4 linked regions of the Drosophila melanogaster genome follow. The protein of the gene in region 1 interacts with the protein of each later gene in a pairwise test. Each region holds a gene or a part of one and is shown in the gene's direction. Other genes may lie near its edges.

Region 1 (5,695 bases):
AAGTGTTGTAAGCATTAAACCCAAACTTTCCCTTGGTTTTTTTATTTGTTAGTTTTGAAATCGCTGTAATTGGTGCTCTTTGGTTTATTTTAAGTAACACAAATCCGCTCCCGAATACAAACATCCCCACTATGTAAATAGTTGACCACCTCTGATTTATGCCGAATCTTGTTTGTTTTGCAGTCTCGTTCTCGCACGCTGAATTGCGGATATCTAAGGGGGTAGGGTGAGGCGGCGGGTGGTGGTGGTGCCCAAGTGGTGTGGCAAGGTGTGCGGTGGGTGGTCGGGGGCAGCACTGTGGGTCGCTGCTCGGCATCGGGGTCTGGGGCACTGAGTAAATGAACGCAGCGCGCTGCAGCGCCTACGAATCGTTGCCAATACTAATGAAGTCGGCGTGCGTGTGTGTGGGCGGGTGTGCGAGTGTGCGTGCTGCAGTTGTGTGCAGTTGTAGTTGCGGGTTCATTGCACGTACACTCGCACAAACACACTCACAGCGCCCAAAACGACCAACGACGAACCCGAGCAAGCGACCGAACAGTCCACCCACCAGTGATGCCACTTCTTTGCACAATGCCAACTCAGTTTGGCGAAAAAACGGCTAAGTAAATTTATAAGTCAGCGAATATAAATTTAAACATTTTTTTTTTTTTATTTATTCTTGATAATGTGCCATCTTCTGCATGCAATTAGGTGATCACGTATACGCCCAGTTTACTTAAGAGTGACATTTAAAGTTATTTGTATTTAACATTTTTATAAATTTTAAGTGGTTAGCAGAAAATTAAAAAACAAGATGTAAATAAGTTTTACTAATGCAATAAAGACAACAGGACGTATACGTAATCTACCCCTTATAAGCGAAAAATGTGTTGCCTATCTTATGGCGCCATATCATATTTTATGACCAAAATGTTAAAAATGGAATATTTCACGATAAAATATAATTAAAGCTTGTAGAATTTGTTTTGATAAAGATTAATAGACATTTTAAATCTCTTGTAACCGTATTCACTCTTATACTTAAAGATGGGGTTCTTAACAACTTTCTAGCCAGATAAACCATTACTGCCGCGTTACTATCCCCCACCCGTCGTTGGCCCCACTGTGCCAGCTCCAATGCGTCCCACTGTCCGTCGGTTGCTTCGTCACTTTGTTGCGTGTTCGTGATGCAGTTGTTGTTTGCCCTGGTTGTTGCAGTTGTTGGTGCTGTTGTTGCTGGGTCTCCGGTTTAGACAGCCGGGCTTCGGACTCCGGGTCTCCTCTGCCTGCCTCCCTCTCTCTTTCGCTGCTCCCCCTCACACCCGCACACAGCCCCTTCGACCAACAACCGACTTCGGTCATCGTGGATTTCTCTGCTCTCCGTTTTGCGGACCTGCATTTTGCTCTGCACTCTTCGCTGCTCTTTTGTTTCGCTTTTCGCTGCTTCTAATGCTCGTCCGCCACTCACCCCTTCCCCGACAACACCCTCTCGTTTTCGGTGGCTCCAAGTTAGAGAGAGGGAGAGAGAGGAGACCCCCAATGAAAGAGAGGTAGCTTGTTTATCGTTGCCTTTCTTTTGGGCAGCCTGCCCGCTGCTTTTTTCCGCCTCCTCCATCTTCCTCTTATTCTTTCAGTGCTTTTCTTCTCTGTTGTTTTTCGGTTTTTGCAGCTCTGAGCTTCGCTGCTTCTGCCGCTGCTGCGCTATGTTGTTGCTTTTTGTCTGTCTCCTCTTTGGTCTTGTTGCTTGTGTCTGTTTTGCTTTTTCGCCCTGCCATCTTACACACTTACTCACTCACACAGATACAAGCACCTACACGCGGAGACTTTTGTATGTAAAACTGACGTCGTCGCTGCTGACTCTTCTTTCCTTTTTCTGTCTTTTTTTTTTTTTGCACATTCTCCCTGTTCTCTCTTCTCGCCTGCATTTTGTGTATCTCATCTCGTGTACGCTTTCGCTGCCTTTCCAATCTCTTCGGCATCGGGGCAACAACAACGAAAAGCTGGCGTCGCCGTCGCCGTCATCGTTTTCTCTATTTTCCTCAATCGCTGTGCCTTTTCATTTTCAATTCGCATATTTTTGCAAACTCTACTTTCAGTTATTCGCCGATAATTGATGTCAAAGGACGCAGTTGTGCTCCGCCGGCGCAGTTTCACATCGCCTTTGGAATCATTGCCGCGGTACGGTATCATTCAGTGCCAGTGTGACCAGTTTCGCTGTGGCCATGCCCAAGGAGGATCCGTTCGTAAATCGAGCCCAGCTCTTGAAGGCGATCAAGAAATATCCGGAGATCTGGGACTCCAACAACAAGCTGCACATGTGCCGCAGCGTCACATCGCCCATGTGGACAGAGATCGCCGAGCAGTTCGGCGGTCATGTGCCGACAGGTGAGCCCACCAAGAATGTACCCGTCCCTACGAACCATTCCGCTTTCCGACATAAGCACCCCTCACACTCTACGCCACTGCTCCATTCGCCAGCTAGCTAGCAGTGTTGCCATTTGTTGCTGCCTTTCGCACTCTCCTTTCGCCAGCTCTTTCGAGGCGCATTCAGTGGCGCAGGCATGTGCTTTTGAAAGGGGGCTGAAAATCACTTTATTTAAAGTAAGTTGGTCCAACCTGAACATTTTAAAGTTCACTGCTCAATAACAAAAATCTACGTTGAATCAATATTCCTAAAGGGTTCATTATTTTCTTAAATTACGTCACTGCACTTGGCTAAAATTAGACAAAGGGCATTTCGGATAGAAAGTAAAGGTTTCTGTCCGTTTGGAATAATAGAGGAGCCTACGCCACTATATAATGCAAATTGAAGCACTCGCAGTAGAAATAATTGACGGGTGGAATGTACTTTGATGAATGCAATTGGGTGGCTTAATGTAAGCTTAGTTATCTGCACCGTGCCACAAGATATTACAATATTCATGAATGAAAAGACTAAACTTCGCACTCTTAGGCCTCTTAAGCCATAATCTCAATATTTGAAATATCTATTTCTTGGAAGTTTCAATAATCACGATTCACGATTAATATTCTTTAAAAAAGAAAATGTTTACCATATTTATTTATAATTTTCAGTTAAGCTGCAATCGATCTGGAGCCAGATGAAGTACCACTATCACAACTTGGTCCACCGCCAGATCCTCCACAAGGATCGATTCAACACCAAGTGGGAGCACTTCGAGCCCATGTCCTTCATGTATAACATTACGGTGGCAAAGATCGTAGGCGCTCAGTCGAGCGGCGGCAGTGGCGGAGGCACCTCCTCCGATGCCCCATCCACAGCCACTGAAGCAGCAACTGTGGGGGAGGAACCTGCTGCCCCAGTGGCGCCTCCGCCATTACCCACCGCCACCCATGGTCGCGGACGACCCAGTGGTAGCTTCAGCTGGCTGCAGACCGCAACCACACCCACCGCCCCTCAACTGCCGCATCTAATCACTCAGCCGCCCCATAGTCAAGGTCATGGCATGACATATACCGCTTTCACGGGGCTGGTACCTCCACCGGCCACTGTGGCCTCAGAGACGGTGGCCACGCCGCCGCGAAAGTTGGGCCGCCCCAGTTCGTTGCACAATAGCATGCGCGGACGTATCATCGATGCCATCAAGACGCGTCCATCGTTGTGGGCTGGGCGCCAGCGGAGTGAGAAAGGACAGGGTCAGAGTAGAACCTCAGCGGTTTGGAAGGAAGCGGCCATGGAGATGGGTCTGACACCGAGTAAGTTAGTCCCGTCTAAGTAGATTATATCCATCGAAATATATAGCATGTAGCAAACTAATTTAATATTGTGTTAAAAGGATGTTACTAATGTCCTGACGAATTGGTATTAAAATAAGCTTAAGTAGCTTAAAGGAATGTGAATTATAAAAAGTTCCCCAACCCTCCCAAAACATCTTATACTTTGCAGCTCTTATGCAAACGCGCTGGTCAATCATCAAGCAGCGCTACGTAGACGAACTGCAGAAGGAGCGCCACGCCCAATACTCCCACCAATCCTTCCGCTCCACGTGGGAACACTTCGATCGAATGTCCTTCATGCGGGAAATTCTGCTAAAGAAGGTCGATGAGAGGGAGCAGACACGCGAACAGATCCAGGAGATCGTTAGCGAGCAGCAGCACCACCAGCAGACGCAGCACCATCCGTCACAGCACTTGCACCACTACCGTCCACCACAGCCGCCAGCAGGATTGGTGGAGCACGCCCAGGACATGCCAATCGGATTGGTGCAGCACCACCATCAGGAGGGACACCATCCGACTTTGGCCATGCACCATCCGCAGCACTCGCAGCCCATTCGCCGTCGGGTCAAGCACGAGTCCGATCTCGAGTGGGATCCCTTTGAGATGATTCTCCATGTCCATGGTGCCGGAGAGCCAGCTGCCAATTGAAGACTGAGCAAATAGGGGCAGTTAAGCCCTAGACACACCTGAGAAAAAGCCTGCACCACTTTGTTTTTTTTTTGGGCACTAATTAATATTAACTTACTAGATCAAATACTTCAATATAATTGAACAAAATTAACAAGATTTCACTTGTTTTTTTTTCTTGATTTGATATAGGTTTCTTCTCAGGTGCAATTTGAAGACCCTAAAATAATCGTCAGATGTAAAATCACTAGCTATACCGCATGCCCCTACTATTGAAAAACCTTTTTGTAATTCCATTTTCTACTACTCCGCAAATAAATACATCACTAAGATATACATAATATTTAATTTGTATATTTTGGTTGGAAATAAATTCACTTAGCATATATATTCCAATTTGTGTAGTCTAGAAACTTCCATGTATTTCTGAAGGATTAATGAATTAAAATTAAATTAGGGCTCATTCAATGCGAAACTGAAATGGATACTACTCACGTTATATAACCGAGTGGTATACATTTCATCAATATCAATTTCGAGAAAAATGCGATTGTAATTTCCGAATGAAAGGAGATTTATTCCATCTGAAGTGCTTTGCACTCAATCAATTGCGATAATCGTGATGCGATGCGACGGATTCGAGATTCGAGAACGCTCCGAGCGCGAAAACTAAATTATGCTAATTCTCACAGTGTGTGCAACATTTGTCGATTGCCAAACTGGCAAACATGTTTCAAATACACACACACATACACATTGCCGCACATGGAGTCGTCCCATAAAGCCACCATCCATCCAGCCATCCTGCCATCCTGGCTTCCTGGCATCCAGTGTTTTGTGGATTTGTGTAAATTTCTGGCTGAGGGCCAAGGGCGGAACACGCGTAATTCCAATCACGTGCCAGCCCAGAAAAGAAAAGTTCTCAAACTGTAAAACGTTTATCAAAACGTATAGCTGCCCCGTTTTCGTTTCGCCCAAGAGCCACCCACATAATTGGCCCAAAGGATGCCGCCTCATCTTACATCCTCAGCACCCAACACCCCTTTTATTTTTCATCCGCCCGCAGACTCCGACAATATCTTCAATAATAAATGCATTTCACTGTCGAATTTGCCGCATTTTGCACAACACACGTGCCTTAAATAATTCACGTCGCATTTAGCGGCGTTTTTGCCAAGCCTCTAATGGGCCCAGCGATTTGTAGTGGGCGTGGCGGTGGGGCGGTACGGCAATAGGTGGAGGCGTGGCACGCCGCCAGGTAAAGTGGAAAGTAGTTGGCTACGTTTTACGTTCTAGTTCGGGGCGAAAATTTGCCTAAAAACTCAAGTAGTTTGTTCAAACTTTTATG
Region 2 (5,242 bases), 570 kb from region 1:
AAGTTTGTGGCTTCGTGGTGCTTGGCTTCACCCTTTTCTGGATAAGTTGAGAAGACAGGGTAGGGTTAACATTTGGAAACCAAATCGCCGCCAGACAGCAAAAGTATCTCATGCGGGGGAAGGAACAATAACGTACAGAAATATGAAGTTTCTGGAAACGAAACCGAATTTCTATTCAATAAAGTTCGGTGGCTTGGTTGGGCTCGCAACTTGTGGCGCAGATGTTCCCGACCTTCCAGCCAAAGTTCGTTATTTGGTCAAGGAAAGAGGTCCTGTTCGAATTCGACTCACTGGCTACAGTGTCCCCATAAAAAAAATTAAACGCAGACCTCAAACAGAATGGCTTGTTGCAACTTTCACTTGTTTTCGATCTTGACTTCTGACATCCTCTGTGGCAGGGATTTGCCGTCGAGGACATGGGCGTGGCTGGCCAACATGTTCACGAAAAATTATGGCTTGACTCCGACATTGTTGAGCCCTTCACGGGCCAACTTTTGGTTCTCTTTCCAAGTTATTAAGCTTTAAATAAAGAAGAATCCTTTTTAAATTGTTTAGACAGCAAAATTCCCACGGGAATTTGCAGTAAGCCAATGTTTCAAAATAATTATTTGTTGGCTTTACAAGACAATAGGAAACCACATTTTTCTGTTTTTTTCTTAATATTTAAATATTTTTAATTACCACAACGCCTTCACATTTACGTGAAAGGTTTAAATAAAACCAATTTAAACGTCTATTTAGTAGATATTTCCTGTAATTATTAACAAATAATTGTTGTGCCATAGAAAAAATTTAATTTATTATAAGAGAACGGCAATTAATATAATTATATAATAATTAATTATTCCTTTGCCTGCATACTAAGATTAAAATAAGTCACTTAATGGAGCAATGGATATATATCCACAAAGTTACATATATATTTTTGTTTTTACGAACGTCCCATCGATCCGCTTTTTGTTAATCATGTGAGTCCTCGTATCTGAAATATGATTTGCATATGGATGCCGGATGTGCTAATGCAAATTTTTGACCCAGCTTGAATTTCATTAACACGATTCGGGGGATTCAGCGGTGCACATACTTACTTCCCCTCCGTGTTCCGACACTCAGCCCATCCGATGCTTGATGGCCATACATCAGGATGAAGGATGAGCACTTCAGAGTATGTGTGTGCCATGAGCAAGTACTTACATATGTACCCAGGTACAGGTGTGCAGAAATGTGGCCGTGCATTGTAATGTTAAGTTACAAGAAATGGTCACACTACAAAAAAAATTTTAATGCGTGGGCCGTTTCATCTGTACAACTAAAATATATCATGTTTTCTAGCTATTCGCACATTGATTTTTTAAATAATTTATATTGAATTTAAAAACATAATATTAGATATCACACTATATTTTTCTGAGTGCTGGCTTGGGGGTCGGTGAACATTTTGAGATGAGGTTAACAAAAATGGCTATGTGTCGTCGTCCTGCTGACTGCGAAATTGCTTTGGATGCCAAATGAATGCACTTGCATATTTCATTGCCGCCCCGTCACCTGCGGTATCACCTTTGGGCCAACTCTTTGCCCCAAGTTGGGATAACACCATCATAAAACAATAGACTTTGGCTTTGTGGCCAGGAGCAAGCGTAACTTTGATTACCAAGAAGAATGTATGCTATTGAGTTCAATAAGAAAAGCCCTGTTTGGTAAAAATGTTTTAAGGTCTGTTAAGGCATAGCATTAAAACAAAAAAACGCTACTTTGGAGGTTAAATTCTTTTTATTGTTACATGATTCCAATGGATATTTGTTTTATATTTTATAGTTACTTTTTTTCAAATAAGTATTACAATAAAATATCTTTGCATTAACATGGACTTTACATTACATACTGTTAACATGGCGACCCACTGCCATACTTTTTTGTTGGGCCAGGTCACTTACGATCCACAGCATCCATCCACTGGGGGGTACTCCTTGCGGAAACTGTTGCTGCTGCTGTTAGCAGTGCCGTTATAAAGTAACGGTACCGCAGCACTGAAGAGCCCAGTGTGTTGGCAGCGCCGCGTGGCAACGGTAATTGAATTGAACCGGGTAGCGTTAGCGGTTTTATCCAACGGAAAATGTGACGGAATATTGGCGGGATTGACGTGTTATAATTTATTTGTTTTAGTTTACGCCGTGATATTGGAAAAGCATAACAAACATAACATTGTTAGTGAAAGAGTAAAAATAGGTAGCGTTTGGAATCCGATTATTATATCTACTATCTTATCATTTACTTTCACTTACATAATAGAAACGTTATTTTTTGTATATTATATTTATTACTTAGCTTACATTATTTTACTTGCTTTCAATATATTATATGTACATATAAGTTGTACCTCCTTTATAATGTTATATCCTTGAATACTTGAATACTTAGGCCACCAAAAATGTGTTTATTTTCATAAATATGCAAATTAAAAGTAAATAGACCAGAATAAGTGCTAATACTGAAACATAAATAAAGATGATTTGCGTGTCATTACTCAAATATCAACTAAAATTCGTGAAAAAGAATTAACAATCCATGAGTGACTAAAGGGAACCATGTCTTCTGGCGAGTGGGACCTGCGTGCTTTGAAGGCGCTGGAGGAGGAGGAGCAGCGCGAGTTCCTGGCCCTCAGCCAGAGAAACCTCTTCGATCCGCTGCCGAATCCCTCACCGGATGTGCCCAGTGCGAAGCCTTCACTAACTTATGCCCAGCTGCATCCTCACCTGCTAAAGCTGCCGACGATCGACGAGTGCCAGCTGATGGCCGTCAAGCAGCAGAGATCAGCGGCTCTGCGATTCAGTCGCGCCCTCTCCTTGTCCGCCCACTCACTCACCTCGCGAACCGGAAGCGCAACGGCAGGCGGAAGTGGCCTGGGCTTTGGCCGTAAACTGAAAGCCCGCTTAGTGGGCGCGAAGTCGAGTGGCTCACTTTCGCCCGGTCGGCACTCGCACAGCTACAGTGTTTCCCCGGTATATACGCCGCCGCCCATGAGAAGATGTGCCACCTTGCATCACACGCAACCGGTGCGAAAAGTCTTTAAAAATCTCCAACAGCTGCAGGAGCGAAAACGTCAGGCGGCTGGAAGTCATCTGCAGAGGATCGCTGGCACTGGAAAAACGTACTGGAAGTACGGAGCCAATTCCACGGCCGCCTCGATAGTGGGCCAACGTGCACGCCAAAACCAACAGATCGAAGTCGAGGAGCCCAACGGTTCGGATGAGCTGAACTCGGAAACACAGGAAATCTCCGAGGCGGAAACGGGCTCCTGCAGTGTGCCGCTGCCGTCGAAGGACACCAATGAAATACTCCGCCTCATGCTCAGTGCGGCCAGCTCGGCGGTAACTGTGACGCCAACGGCGGCGGCCATTGGTAACGGTAACGTGGCCGGAGCAACTGGTGGCGCCCCGCCAATGCGTCGCTACCAGAATGCCAGCGATGTTGAGGAGGACGAAACTGTTGCGTACGGAGCTTTCCACCAGGCGGCCAAAAGCTTCGAGCGCGGCGCTCTCCTGCGAGTCGGCAGCTTAACAGCCCAAGAGAGCGATAACAGCAAAGTTAATGCCATTAGCCCCAGTCCACAGAACAGTCCCGCCAGGGAAACACAATCCACAGCGGTGGGCGGAACGGGTGGCAGACGTGTGTTCAAGTCCTGCTCATTCGATTGGCCCGGGGAAGCGCAACAGCATCTATCCCCGCAGCCACATCAAGCTGCAAATCCTGTAGAGCTGTTGGAGCAGCAGGGAAAGGACATTCGCTTTCGCCAGAGGGATCACTGGGATCTCGAGCATGCCCACTTCCATCACGAGGCACTTGGACACCTAACAACCAGCACCACCGTCATCGATGACGAGCTGGAGCAGCATATCAAGCACTGTTCCTGCTCCTGCAACCACATGGGCTATGGCAACTCAATGGACTATCAGGTGAGTGAAAACTACGTTCAAAAGAGATTAATACAAATAAAAACTGAAAACAATTTCGGTTGAATAAGAAACATATGATTAACAAATTGTAACTTTCGAAGCTTATATTGTCTATTAATGTCGGTCTATTGTTATACCATCAGTATAGGAAGGCAAATGGCTTTAGTTATTGAAATTTTAGATATTTTGCAATTAAGTGGAATGCTAATTGTTTCCTGTTTGCCCATTTAATCCAAAACCGCGTCAAATTCCCGCCGTGCACAGCCCTTTTACAAGTGATGGCGCCGTGTAATTTTAATTGCAGCAACTATATCTGCAGTGCGGGTGTCCGGCAATTCAGGTGAATGGCGGCACATTCAGAGGGCCTCCACTTTCTATCCAGCTTTTAATGCACTCTGGCGGAGATTCCAATACACAGGCATTTCCCAAACTCATTATCAGCGAGGCCTTTTGTGGACATTCCGGGTTCACGGCTGGATTGGTCCTGGCAGATTGCCGCCTGGAGATCGCCCTGGGGCACTGACTCTGCCATTGCCAAGTGCTCCATTGTCTGGCTGCGAGTGGCCCGCATGGGATGGGTTCAACTTTTAAACTAAATTGAATACCCCTTTGAATCCGACAATGAGCTGGATGCCTGTTCTTGCCGGGATTAAGCTCACAGTTGGGTTTCTCGCACCCTCACATCGTTATTGTCTGTAATTGTTAAGACGATTTTAGGTTTAATAGCTGCCATTTCAAATAGAGTTGGAGTCTGTTGGCTGACCCCTCGAAAACTCAAGACTTTATCTTTTGTTTTACCACAAGGATGCAATTGCACACTCTATGTGGCCCTAAGGGGTGTGAGACTTTTATTGTGCAATACTCAGGAACAAACGGCCTGGGAAACTTAAAGCATGACAGGAGTCTTCAACTAGGAAATATTTTCTCGGTTAATAATGCACTCTAAAGAACTTTTAAATACCATTGTATGTAGATGATGATGTAGATGATACCATTGTATGATGAAATGATTGCCTGATAGTTAGGACCTGAAAAAATGAATTCTAGCCATTTGCATAGTTTGATTACGACTTTATAGGAGATTGTTTACAGCGTACAGATAGTTCTACAATAGGTGCGATTGCGATTGGGTGTGCTTTACTAATAGCGTTACTAACATAGGGCGTTTATTTCTAACTCGATCGAACATCCAGGGGGGTCATGCGTCTAAAGGCTGTGGGTTTATCCGTGGGATGATCCGATCACTGCAGCGTGCTCTGTGGCGGAGTGAGCGGGGTCCAGGTGTCGGC
Region 3 (7,404 bases), on another chromosome or scaffold:
CAAAGAATTAAGCTATATTACATGTAAATAGTTCTTCATTACTCATGCAAGATGTTTTCATATCTTTAGGATACATAGTATATCTTTTTTTGATGGCAAGCTCTATGGCAGTACAATTCGATATGAGGCCTACAATATCGATTGAAATCAGATATATGTACTCCTCAATCATTGATGTTACTACTTGTGCAATATTGTTGCCAATATGAAATAGCTTTGCAGTTTTTCCTTGCCATCACTAAGAGCATGTTGCAATGTCGCCGGTGCGAAGTATCTGATAGATAGATACCGACCGAAAGAGCCGAGCAAACACACACACATACGTATTGGAATTGGAGCAGAGATCAACGAGTCTGCCGCCAGTCAAAGGCAAACATCTGGTTGCGGCACCGCTCCCTTACCACCCCCTTACCATTACCGGAAAATGCATCACCACCGCCCCCCGCTGGGTGGCCAGGTGCAGCCGGTTTCCTGTGCGTTGGCAACGTGTGCTGCCCAAGTCCCAAAACGACGTTCGCCATTAAAAGCGGCAAATTGCTCTGGCTCCAGAGCCTCTGAATGGGTCCAAATAGTGCATATGTACCTATATTGGGGTTGGGATTCTACGGCAAGGAATGTAGGCCTGATGAACTGCAGGCTGGCTAAATGAACTCAATGGATGGATGGATGCCCGGTGAAGGCAACAATTTTCGAAGCTCTCGTGACCAGAAATCCAAATAACATTCGAAAGCTGAATGGCATGAGCTTGCAAGACATTTATAGATATATTTCTAAAGATATATATGTATATAAATACTAACATATGATAGGAATTTATATTTTTAAATAATTTAAGAAGCATAACATCTGCGGTCGCTGAGATTTCGCAAATCCTTTAAAATTCCCCAAACAATTATTTGTTAATTGCCTGCTTTTTTATCTGGTGACACATCTGACCACAAAGTGTGGCCCACTTGAGCTGGCTTAATTGAATTGCTTTTGGTTTGGTCTATGGGCCATCAATTGATTGTTTGCACTCGACACTCACCGCAATAGGAAATAATAACTGACCTGACTGAATAAACACCATAAATATCGGCACGACTTTGGGGATACCACACAAAAAACCAACCGCCACCGCACTGAAAGTGAAAGCTTTTTTTAAGGTTTTTTCAAACAATTAATTTTATAAATACCTTTTGGTAGCTAACAAAAAAAACTGCATAAATTATTTGGGCTTTAGCTGCTGGAGATGGGAAAAGTCTCGAATGAGAAATGATGCTCATCACCTGTTTTCTTTTGATGAATTCAAAGGCGGCGCACATTGCCCCACCCGAATGTCGGTTCAAGTTGAAGTTGAAGTTGAAGTGATGCAATTTCTCTCAGCAGCGATTTCAATTTCTTTCCGCAAGTGAAAAAGACTTGAACTTGGCAGCTGCTTTTTTTTTTAAACCACTTACTCTAGCAACGGCTATGGTCACTATGCGGTTAAGTTGAATGAGTTTCGAAAATGGGTGTAATATATGTTGGGTATGAATCAGCTTCTTTTCCTAAATGATGACAGTTCAAATTACAATTTCTACTTTTTAACTGAGTTTTTAGATACATTTCTTTAGAGCAACTTCAATTCGTTGTGTAATGAAGCCCAGTTTTGCTTACATATCTATGGCATTTCCCTGGCGCAGCCGCATTTCAACGACTCTCAAATTTGCATATCAATGTGACTTTGAGTAGCTCTGCGACTGTGACATAACCACCTGCTGTCATTTTAATTTACTGCTAATTAATTTACAGGCCGGCCGAAATTACATCTAGCCAAAGACATAAAGACTGAATGGGATCTCTGATTAATTTTGATGGAAATTGGCAAGCGAACATGTGAGGTGAGCTCAGACCGAGGATCAAACCCGTTCGAACATGCTGGCAGAGAAGCGCCAAAGACTTGTAACTTGGCTCAAACCGTTGGCCAAAACAGTTGAGCGCCGGTCGAAGAAGCGAACACAACGCGGTTGCGCATGCGCGTAGATCATGTGCCGATCGGACGTGTTTGAAATTTACAATTCACAAATTGGCTAAAAGAGCGTTCTATAACCATAAAAGTGCTCTGTGACAAGTGACCGACGGCATAAAACAAATTCAAATTTATAACCAACACCAAAACCAAATAAATAACAAGGTGAATGAAACTGCCCAGAAAACTGTGTCAAAAGCAAAGAAAGTTGCTATTTTTTTAGTGTGGGCAGGCTGCCAAGTATCTTTTTAGGTGTATCTTCAGCTCCGTCTGATGTTCGTTTTCAATCTTTTGCGGGCTTGTCGAGATTGAGTGATCATCTGCGTGGGTCTGTGCCACATAAATTCGAATGCATCTCAGGTGTAATGTAATGATCACCATTTTAGGGCACTACGCCCAGGTATGCGAGAGAACTGTTCTTCTCAGGTGATTCATGATAAAAACTTCTGCTCGTCTCGCATACTTTTTTCAAAGGTGCGGCAGAAGATGTGACTTTTTAAATTCATTTTACCCTGCTCTCGATTGGTTTGATGTAAATCCACAATTGGGCATGATATCACTCGAATAAATATTTATATATTTGAATACTTAGCAAGGTCGATTGGCATTTGGCAAACGTGTTTCCAGTTATTTTGCATTATAATCCGATGTCGAAATATTTACCTTACCTTTGCATAATTTGTGCTGAATGAGACATGGACAGGTTGTTAATTATTACCTTAATTGAAATATTCGGAGAAAACCAAAGTCAATCGAATAATATTATGGAGGTGGGCAAAATTTTGAGTAGTAAAATATAAATAGTGGAATATCTTACCAGTTAATATTTATAAAGAGTGTTTGTGGTTGCTACCTACAAACCTACATTTATCTTAAATAAGTTTATTTTTAGTATACTTAAATTTAATCTTTATTTAAATATCCCATTACGGTCATCCGTCTTAATAGCATTTAATAGCCCGGATTTGCACAAATATTGATAGTTGTCTTTTATTTTAAGCCTAACTCAGGTGGCCAAAACCACTATCAATCACCAAACACGCTAACAAGCCCGACTGATTACACAAAGTAACTCGACGCGAACTTGTCACATTTGATATGCAAATGGCCAGAAGCCAAAGTCAAAGCGGCACTTTACGCTGAAATGAATCTGAATCCGAAATTGAATCTGTATCTGAGGTTGACCGGGGCAATCAGCCAACCGCAGTGAAGGAGTGGAAGTGCCGTCCGAAGATGCCAATTAATTAACAGGGTCTTAGGGGTTTTAAGTGGTTCCATATCCACGAATGTGTTTGCATATTCAACTCTAATTGCGTCTAAACACTGCGCATGCAATTAACTTTTCACGGTAAAGGGCCACGTGGCGCATACGTAATGCGATTTTCACCCACCAAGAACATTTATTATTCTTATCAATTTATTCATCAGTTATCTAGAATAATAACTGGAATATCAAGTATAGAGTGCAGAATTTGTATGCCTACATTGTTTGTTTTGGATTGACTACATTTTGGAGTTCCTTTAAATAATAAATAGCTTAAAAAACAAGCCCTAAACCATTTTCACTCGCGTGCAAATCACTGAAAGTGCATTCAGATGGGCTTCTGTGTGCATATTTTGTTTTGTTTGGATATATGCCATAAAAAGTTTATAGACCCTGAAAGATACACAGATAAACGATTTCATTTGCGTGTCACAGCCAAGTCACGTTGTTTTATTTTTTTTTCGCGGTACAGTTTGTGTATTTTATAAAAAATATATTCCCATCGGAAACCTTTTTTCTTGATCAGGCCATACAAATGTTAATCGATAACCGAAGAGATTAAAACAAACCAGGCAAAAACAAAACCAACTCAACATTTTTATGCAAATGCACAAATCACAAATGCCTCGAAAAGATTGCGCAAAACCCTTTTTTGAAATGGGCGTTTTATATTGTAGAAATAATTAAGGGGAAAACCCCGGAGAAAACCAAAAGCCTATGTAAAATATCAGCCGAAAAATTTGCCTAAAAATTTAATTTAATATTTTTTAAGGTATTTTTTTTAACTTTGCGGAAACAGATGCATTAATATTAATATTTTCTGTGCCCATTCATGCTTTTCATTCAGATTTCGGTAGAGATTTAATCGAATGAAAGAAATGTGAACCGTTTTTCGCTTATTACATGTTGATATTGTCTTTTATGTTAAATAAACTCTGAAATGAATATGCAGTTAAAAAAAAACTGAACGTTTTTCATTTATTTAGTTTTACAATGGAAAACTCGGTGTATTTTAATTCCATTTCGATGGCACTGCAACTGACAAGCCTGATCGAAAATCTAGTTAACCTTCTCGACAAAATGGAAATTTGTGTATTTTTTGCATGGCACTTATTCCACTTGATTTTGTATCGCATATTTTTATAAATTTATACAGTTGCCGACGGGCTCCATTTCAGATTTTAATTAAATAGTTTTTTGTTTTTTTAATGAAATTTGATAAGTAAAGCAATTTGTTTTCGATGCCCGAAACGGGTGGATGGGTTTTTTGTTAGTTTTCCTTTGACGTAAACCAGTCTGTTGGCTAATGGAATATCTCGGCTTATTGGCAATTGGAATGCCAATTGATTGGCCATGCTAAGTTATGCAGATCCATAAACCGGCTAATGGTTGCAATCTGAAGTCGTGAAGTGTAACACCTGCAAAAGATATAGCCAAGCCGGTGTGCAATTTTAAGCCGGCATTAATGCCGCGGAAAATTCGCGGCCAACGCCGAAGAACGGGTTCGATTCGTTGACGGAAGAGTTTTCAGTATTGGCCACAAAGTGCGTTGCGTAAGCAACCAGTTGATGCACTTGCTCATGGCTTTCCCACACCACGCGCACCATCTCCGCATTTTCCCAACCAATATTTATGTATTTTTTCTTTGCCTTTTTTTCTTACAGCATGCGTGAACGCAGTCAAACGACCCCAAGAAGGCGACGAGCCGGTCCAAAACAGGCCTTACCTGGTGGCAGCTCCTCGGAGGGAGTGGGCGCCCTGGAATCCCCCTATTATACCATTGACAACACGGAGGATATATATGGCACCACGCTGCTGCCCTCGCAGCGCTGCTATGTGGATCCCTGGGATCTGGAGAACTATGATTATGTTCGCAAGAAGATCGATGATGTCACCGGTGGCGGTGGTGGTGATGGTGATGGTGAGGCAATTGAACCTGCCTACGGAGGTGGTGGCAACTCGCTGACGACCAGTCCCACATACGGATACGGAGTGGGTGCCGCCGGTGCGGGTATGGGTGTGGGCATGTCGGCCACAATGCCACGCCCCCACACCCAAAGTCGCCGGGTGTCGCGTGCCCAGTGCCAACTTGAGTGCTGTGTGCCCCAAAGGACTCGTCGCCGTAGCCGCAGCGCTCGCAAGGAGCCACTCTATACGGCCAGGAGCGATATTTACGGTGTGCCCAGCCGCTATGAGGACTACATGGCCACCATGACCAGGCAGTTGCACCTGGACAACGGCGAGGATGAGGAGCCGGAAGATCTTTACGGCGAGGAGCAGCGGCAACTGTACAATGGCTTTGGAGGTGAGTGAAAAACGCAAATAGCAAATGCAAATTCGAAACCCCTTTAAAACTAGATTTTAATTTAAAATTCCTTTTGTTTCGTAATAACCAATTTATTTAGTTAGCTTTGTATGCAAATCACACAAATGCATTTAGATTTCATTTTCGATTCCATTTGATTGTTACAATTTACGCAGTGCGTCTTTTATGGCAATTCGATTAACGTTTAATTGCAAATCTCTGGCAAAATCATTGATTTTTGAGCTTGACTAATGAAATTTGATTTTCTGTACTTGGGGATCATTAATTACTTAGTATTTGTTATATATTTTGATTACTAATCCTTTTCAAACTATATGTAAGTATAAATGTTTTATTGATTTTAAACCCATCGAGTGCTTAAATATAAATGTAGCTGTTGTAAAATACCAAATGATTTTGATAGCTTTCACTAATGCCGTGTAATCTCACACGTTTCAGGCTTCTCCAGCACCAGTTCCACGGAGCATCCCTCCTCCATTGGCGATGAGCAGCCCGTTCTCCAACGACGCGCGGCCACGATGCAACGCCGCTCCGTGCCCAGCGAGATGCAGCGGAGCACCAACATGGTCGGCAGCTATGGAACTGCCCCCCATCCGCGGCGCAAGCGAAGCGGTAAGGCGGCGCCCATGGCCGCTCCGCCGCAGATCGATTTCCCCGCACCGCCGCCACTTTCGCCCGCCTACGACTACTGTAATCCCTATGCTTCACTGCCGTACTGCAGCATACCGGATTGCAGCGAATGCCAGCAGCAGATCTATGCCGCACCCTCCGCCCTCTACGGAACCATGGGCGGCTTGGTGGGTGGTGATGGCAGTCGGGTTAGGGGCTCATCGCCCCATCATTCCAGCGGTGGTGACTCGTCGCTCTACTCGGGAATTTACGCACGTAAATTCGGACTGAGCAAGAAGGGTCTACTGCAGATCGACTACTCATGCAGTTGGAACGATCTGGACAGGGTGATGCAGCGCCATTACTGAGATCCATGGGGCCGCATCCACGTGGATCTGGGATTTGGGTGCTTGGGTTAGGCTAACTACCAACACGTTTGCACCAATCGCGAACAGAAACCTTATTGTTATTTAAGTCATTTTGCATTACAGATACAAACACAAACACATACACACACACACACTGAAGACCAAATAACTGAAACATGTTTGTCGTAGATATATAGTGTTTTCATATTCATATTTACCGAATAAACATTTTGAAGTCAAGCATTAAGGATTTGTAGTTATTATTAAAACTTTCAAGGTATGAAAGTTTAAACTTGGCTATATGGAGAAGAGCTAATAGTTCTCAATAAAACTTAAAAGTAGAGTAAGACTGAACATAAGATAGTTTCTTTATTTCTTATAATTATAGATTTGTTCATAATATTAGCAAAGTTGAAGTCACTAATTAGGCAAAGCATTCAGAAACAAATAACTTGACTTGGTGACAAAGAAAAGTTCCTCTTTTTCCACTCTAATTAGTTGTGACGTCACTAGGCGAATGTTTCATGTTTGACAAAATGTTTGCGGGGGGAGAAATGAGAACACGGAAATGGTTTTAGCGCCGGACTTTGATGAATGTTTTGAGAATTGTCAAGCCTAAGTTAGTCGAACAAATGGCAAATGCGGCAGGTGTACGAACGAAATGGGAAATAAGTGACAGCAGGAAAGTTTTTAAAGCACACCTTTCGGTGTTGAATGGTGGAAAAATCCATTAAACTTTTCGCCAGCAAAGTGGGAAATGCAACTTCAGCTCGATTATCTCGGCCGGAGGTGCACAAATACATGGAGAGCGACCTGTTCAAAAGGGAAAATCAATAAGGTAAATAAA
Region 4 (4,882 bases), on another chromosome or scaffold:
GGACGGCAATCGGTCTAACAGCTGTTTATCGGGCGGGTGGGCGTCAATGTTTATGCACACACATGCGGAAGAGGCGCAGGTATACACACAAGCGCAGGGAATTGGACTTGGTATGCGGCCCCTTCTGCAATACTGGGTTCAAGGTGAATTGGCCACAGGACCCGCACTGTGGCCCCATGGCGGAAGCACCCGTGGGAAGAGCTGATTTTATTCATGGATAGCGGAGTTACCTTGGTTTAAACCGCGTCACAGATCGATTTTTGTCCACCTAGGCGCGAATTTCTTACGCTTCCGCTGACTGCTGGTCGCATCGATTCCGGTGCCACTGCTCTGGGAACTTTGGATCCCGTTGGGTATCTGGTAATTTTGAATGCACTACACACGCCGCAAAAGCGTTTGCATTTGCATTGGGTCCGAAAAAATTTGGTGCGCAACAGAACGAACGTCCCGTTCCTAACGAAAAACTAAAGTGTGTGCTCACAAATCCGTACATCTTGCTCAGCTAGATATTATCGATAGGCAGTGGATGGATTGTCAGCTGGCCGACGGCACCTATCGATAGCTATTCAAATCCAAATGGCGGCCATGTTGTTTGTTTGAAAGCCCAAAATAGGCTGTATTATTTTTGTTTATTTGTCCTGCAAATTATAAACAAGGGAGTCTCCGAGAAAAAGTGCAACTGCATCACTAGATTTTTTGAACATATCCGAATTGATTAAAACATTTCTGATTTATCACTTGCCTAGCTTTATTGTAAAATATTGAATAAACCTCCATAACATTAATACAGGTACCAAGATACCGAGACTTTCATTTTTGTGTGTGTTGCAGAAACGAACTCCAAATAATTCGCGAGGGTGGTTTGACGTTAACAAAGGTCATAGTTGATAACCAGTTGAAAAGGATTCATTATTAGTTGGATCAGGTTTTGATGCCAATCTTTAGAATTTGAGAATTCTTACATTAATCAATACAAATAAAGCTATTAAGGACAGAAAACCACTTGTAAATCCGGTCTCATCTTCCATGTTTTCGATGACCAACAGTTTTCGAGAAGGCTTATTTAACAGTAACTTTAAATCATTCTCTAGATCCTATTCAAAATTTGGTATATTTGTTGATTTTTACATAATAGTTGACTGCTGGAAGGAAACGTTTCCGTCCCTAGAATTTACATTTATTCTTATTGAGGATCATTAACCGATTCGATCTGTTCATGTCCTCCTATCTCTATAAACGCATAGATTTTTGGAACTATAAAACTTAAAGATTCAACAATGTCACGTTATGTCTCTTAGCAAAGGGAAGTTTAATCCTTTCTATTTTAGACTAAGCATAACGTTGACAAAATGTTAGCTCGAAACACATTGTTAAAAGTGTTTACCAAAGGGAAAATGGGGAATACAAAGTACTGTGAATTGTTGTAGCGCATAATGAAAGCGATTCTCCGAGTTTGTTTTTATAGGACTATTCGTAGTCACTTTCTTGTTTGCACCGAATGCATAAACAGAGAACTGCAATTCAAAAGGGAAACTCTTGCTCTTTGCCTGATTTCACCACACTGCTCACTCGATTGGCGCTCCTGTGCTCGACGCGAAAGCTTTTCGGGGGAGCGGAAAAGCTGCGCCAAAGCACGAAGTCCACGATCCCGATCCCTAAAGCTCGGGCAAGGCCTCTTGAATGGCACCGAGATTCCACCAAAATAATTTCAGTTGCGAGCGGACCTCTGCACGGAGTGGAACAAAATCTGAAGAGCAAAGAGTACAGTCCGCGGAAAACGTTCAATTAATAGAAGCAAGAAACCACATATATAATCTAATTATTCTCGTATATACCCCACATATATCTCGCCTGTGCATATACGAACCCCGTATATATGTATCAGTGAACAAAAAGTTGTTATACATAAAATAAATTGCGAAAGAAGAAACACCATTATCAACTAAAAATAGTGACCGATTCTCAAAGGAATACAAATTTTAATAACGAAAGACCCCAAACGACGAGAACGAATCAATTATACAATTATAACACTATAAACTGTAGAACACACCAAAACGAGCAGACACGCGCACGCATGTTCGCGTTAAGGGCCTAAAGCACATCAGAACCGTAACCGATCGCAGGATGACTTTCACCCGCCTCAAGACTCTCTCGCTGCTCGTGTGTGCTCTGCTGGCCCTGAGTTTTCCCGGACATGTGAGTGGTGCAGGCAACAACAACAACAAGAAGGGCTCGCAGCCAGTGGCGCCTCCGGAGCCGGAGGCCGTCATCGAGGAGGTCAATGCCAAGCAGCTGGAGAAGCTCCTGGCCGACAAGGATTACGTGGCCGTTTTCTGGTGTAAGTGGGAGGGTGGTTATGCCAGTGCTCTCGGGGTCGTCCGGGCACCGCTCATTTATCGTCAGACCGGACCGTACCGGACTCGAAATAGTAACAGAAGCCATATTATATAAATTTTCGCTAGTGAAAATTCTAAAAATTCACATACAAATGAAAATATGTGAAAAATTCGTTGCTCGAAATGTCCGCGATTTTCATTCGGTTAATTTTTTATTTTTTTTCTATTTCTTCATTTCCTCCCCGAGTTGCCAGTAGTCTGTGCTGCCTTCCCTTTTCTATATTTTTTTCATTTCTGCGCTATCTTTGCGATCTGTTTATGAGTAGAGAAATCTCTCTTGGCTGTGAGAAATCGTCTTTGCAGCTTTTTATATTTTCGGTTTTTTAGTCTATTTTGGCGCAAACTTTTGGCACAAAATATACCTACATACCTATGAAGCAGAATTTAATTTCCTTCCAGCAGTTGCCAACAGATTTCCTGCCCTTTTAAATTTATTTTCAATCCCCTTGTCCAGTGGGTCCCATTGGTGACCTGTTTTTGGGTAACCAAAAAAAAAAAAAAAAAAAAAATGGTTACCGTTCGCGTGAAAGAATGGCTTATTTATTAAATCTCTTTAATCAGTTTAAATATAGATTGGGCATTTGCGCGCTGTTCCCCAATGTCAAAGTTAATAAACACGAAAGTGATCTTCGGATTGTAATATTCTCCTTTATATGTATATGTACATATACCTCACGATGTGTTTCATTAGCATTGGCGGCAATTCCAAAAATAATTGTTGACAATGAAAATATTTTAAGTCCAAAAGCCTCAGGCCCAATGACGCTGGCCGACAATCGAAATAATCATGGAATATCTACGCAAATGGCAGAGCATTGAATAGTTTTGGCAATTAAATCGCAGATAGTTCAATATGTAAACGAATTCTATCGATAAGCTAAATGTGTTTATTATTTCAAGTGAACGCTATTTATGTTATTGCACTGCATGCGATAGCACTCTGATGATTTTAAATCAAACATCCTGCAGTGGATTTTCCAAAGCACCTGGTGTACACAGGAAACACCTTAGTGTTGGAGCCCGTAAATAACAGCATTAGGAGTATGGAGTAGGCAGGGGGGGGGGGTATTCGGCCAACTCGCGATTACTTTCCAAGCAGTGAAAGATTGTTTTGAACGGATTGCCAAACAATCGAAATGGCTGTTTACTCGGCGATGTATTAATGATTCCGATTTTGCAGTCTGGTCTGCCGTTTAACCAACCAGAACGTTTGTAGAGACGTGGGCCAACGGTGGTCTTTTGTGGGCTGCAATTCATTTCCCTAATAGTGGCCGCATGAATTTTATGAATTAATTTAGAATTTCAGCATATTTGTTGGCAGTTGCTGCCGCATTAATAGCACAGAATTGGCCTGGCGCTGCTGTCATTTCATTCATTCATTCAGGCTTATTTTCGATTGCGCGGTCCGATGATGCATCCTGCATCTACTATATAGGAATGAATAATCTTTGCGGCATTTGGCTCCACTTCTGCCAGGGCTTTGGGCTTTGGGCTTTCAATTCGAATGGGAATTTAGTTATGGTCTCTTGTGGCGTCACATGCAGCAGTTGCCGACTGTCAATCGCTGCCGGTATCTACATATAATCGATCTTTAGTACTCACACGCTCGGCTTCTACGATTTCAGATGCGCGAAGCTGCGTGACCTGTGATAAGGTTTTAGCGGAACTCGAGAAAATCGACGATGACACCGACTCCTTCGGTGTGGACTTCGTGAAAATCAACGACAAACGACTAGCCAAACAGTATGGCATCAAGAACTTCCCCGCCCTCACCTACTTCAGGTAGGTAATTCCCCCACCACAAACAAGACACAAGACCTAATCGAATCGAATCCATATCTCGAAAACCGCAGGGAAAAGGAGCCCATCATATATGATGGGGATCTCATGGACGAGGAAGGAGTGCTCGATTTCCTCACCTCCTTGGAGGCCATGGACTTGCCCGATCGCATCGAGGAGGTCAATGCCAAGATATTGCAGAAGATCATCGAGGACACCGACTTCGTAGCCGTTCTGTTCTGTAAGTGTGAATGACTTAACCGTAGCACATACATAGTTCTTCAAACGTTTAGCACTCCGAACACTCTAGTGTCGGACACTTGAAATGATGATATTCTTTTTCAAAGCAGTTGCAGTTTTTAGCGAACACAAACAGTTTAGCTCTCTTGTGACTAAAAATCATACAGCTAGGTACTAGAACTACTTTCAAAACTACCTATTCTGTACATTCTATTCCATAAATCAATATCTTTTGCGTATGTCTGTACTCTATCTATAAATACGTATACTACTTGTAACTAACCGAAGCTAAGTGGCGGCATACTTAACATTTAATATAGCTATCTATATATAATAATAATTTCTCTTCCGGCGGTGTTTCGAACCCTCTTTGAGCCAAAATGCAAAAGGACAATTTATCAATCCAATATCTATTCTATCAAACGACTGCAGGTCCAGATCATGAAACATGCCCGCCCAGGGTT

Evidence for each region.
Region 2: the proteins of CG6163 (region 1) and CG44837 interact in a two-hybrid assay, tested with the Drosophila melanogaster proteins (one large-scale study listed by BioGRID).
Region 3: the proteins of CG6163 (region 1) and CG8854 interact in a two-hybrid assay, tested with the Drosophila melanogaster proteins (one large-scale study listed by BioGRID).
Region 4: the proteins of CG6163 (region 1) and hlk interact in a two-hybrid assay, tested with the Drosophila melanogaster proteins (one large-scale study listed by BioGRID).

The regions. Positions count from the first base shown.
Region 1 is NT_037436.4:11,361,278-11,366,972, reverse strand, and holds CG6163 (uncharacterized protein), read left to right. Parts: upstream 1-2,087; 5' UTR 2,088-2,201; coding exon 2,202-2,364; intron 2,365-3,054; coding exon 3,055-3,696; intron 3,697-3,886; coding exon 3,887-4,368; 3' UTR 4,369-4,987; downstream 4,988-5,695.
Region 2 is NT_037436.4:11,935,684-11,940,925, reverse strand, and holds the start of CG44837 (uncharacterized protein), read left to right. Parts: upstream 1-2,053; 5' UTR 2,054-2,226; intron 2,227-2,418; 5' UTR 2,419-2,585; coding exon 2,586-3,953; intron 3,954-5,006; exon of another isoform or gene 5,007-5,194; coding exon of another isoform or gene 5,195-5,242. Other genes in the region: byn (brachyenteron), read right to left, coding at 5,195-5,242.
Region 3 is NT_033778.4:12,223,859-12,231,262, reverse strand, and holds CG8854 (uncharacterized protein), read left to right. Parts: upstream 1-1,952; 5' UTR 1,953-2,155; intron 2,156-4,416; exon of another isoform or gene 4,417-4,918; 5' UTR 4,919-4,919; coding exon 4,920-5,559; intron 5,560-6,018; coding exon 6,019-6,557; 3' UTR 6,558-6,802; downstream 6,803-7,404.
Region 4 is NT_033778.4:6,737,498-6,742,379, reverse strand, and holds the start of hlk (hulk), read left to right. Parts: upstream 1-1,707; 5' UTR 1,708-2,127; coding exon 2,128-2,341; intron 2,342-4,024; coding exon 4,025-4,181; intron 4,182-4,252; coding exon 4,253-4,419; intron 4,420-4,850; coding exon 4,851-4,882.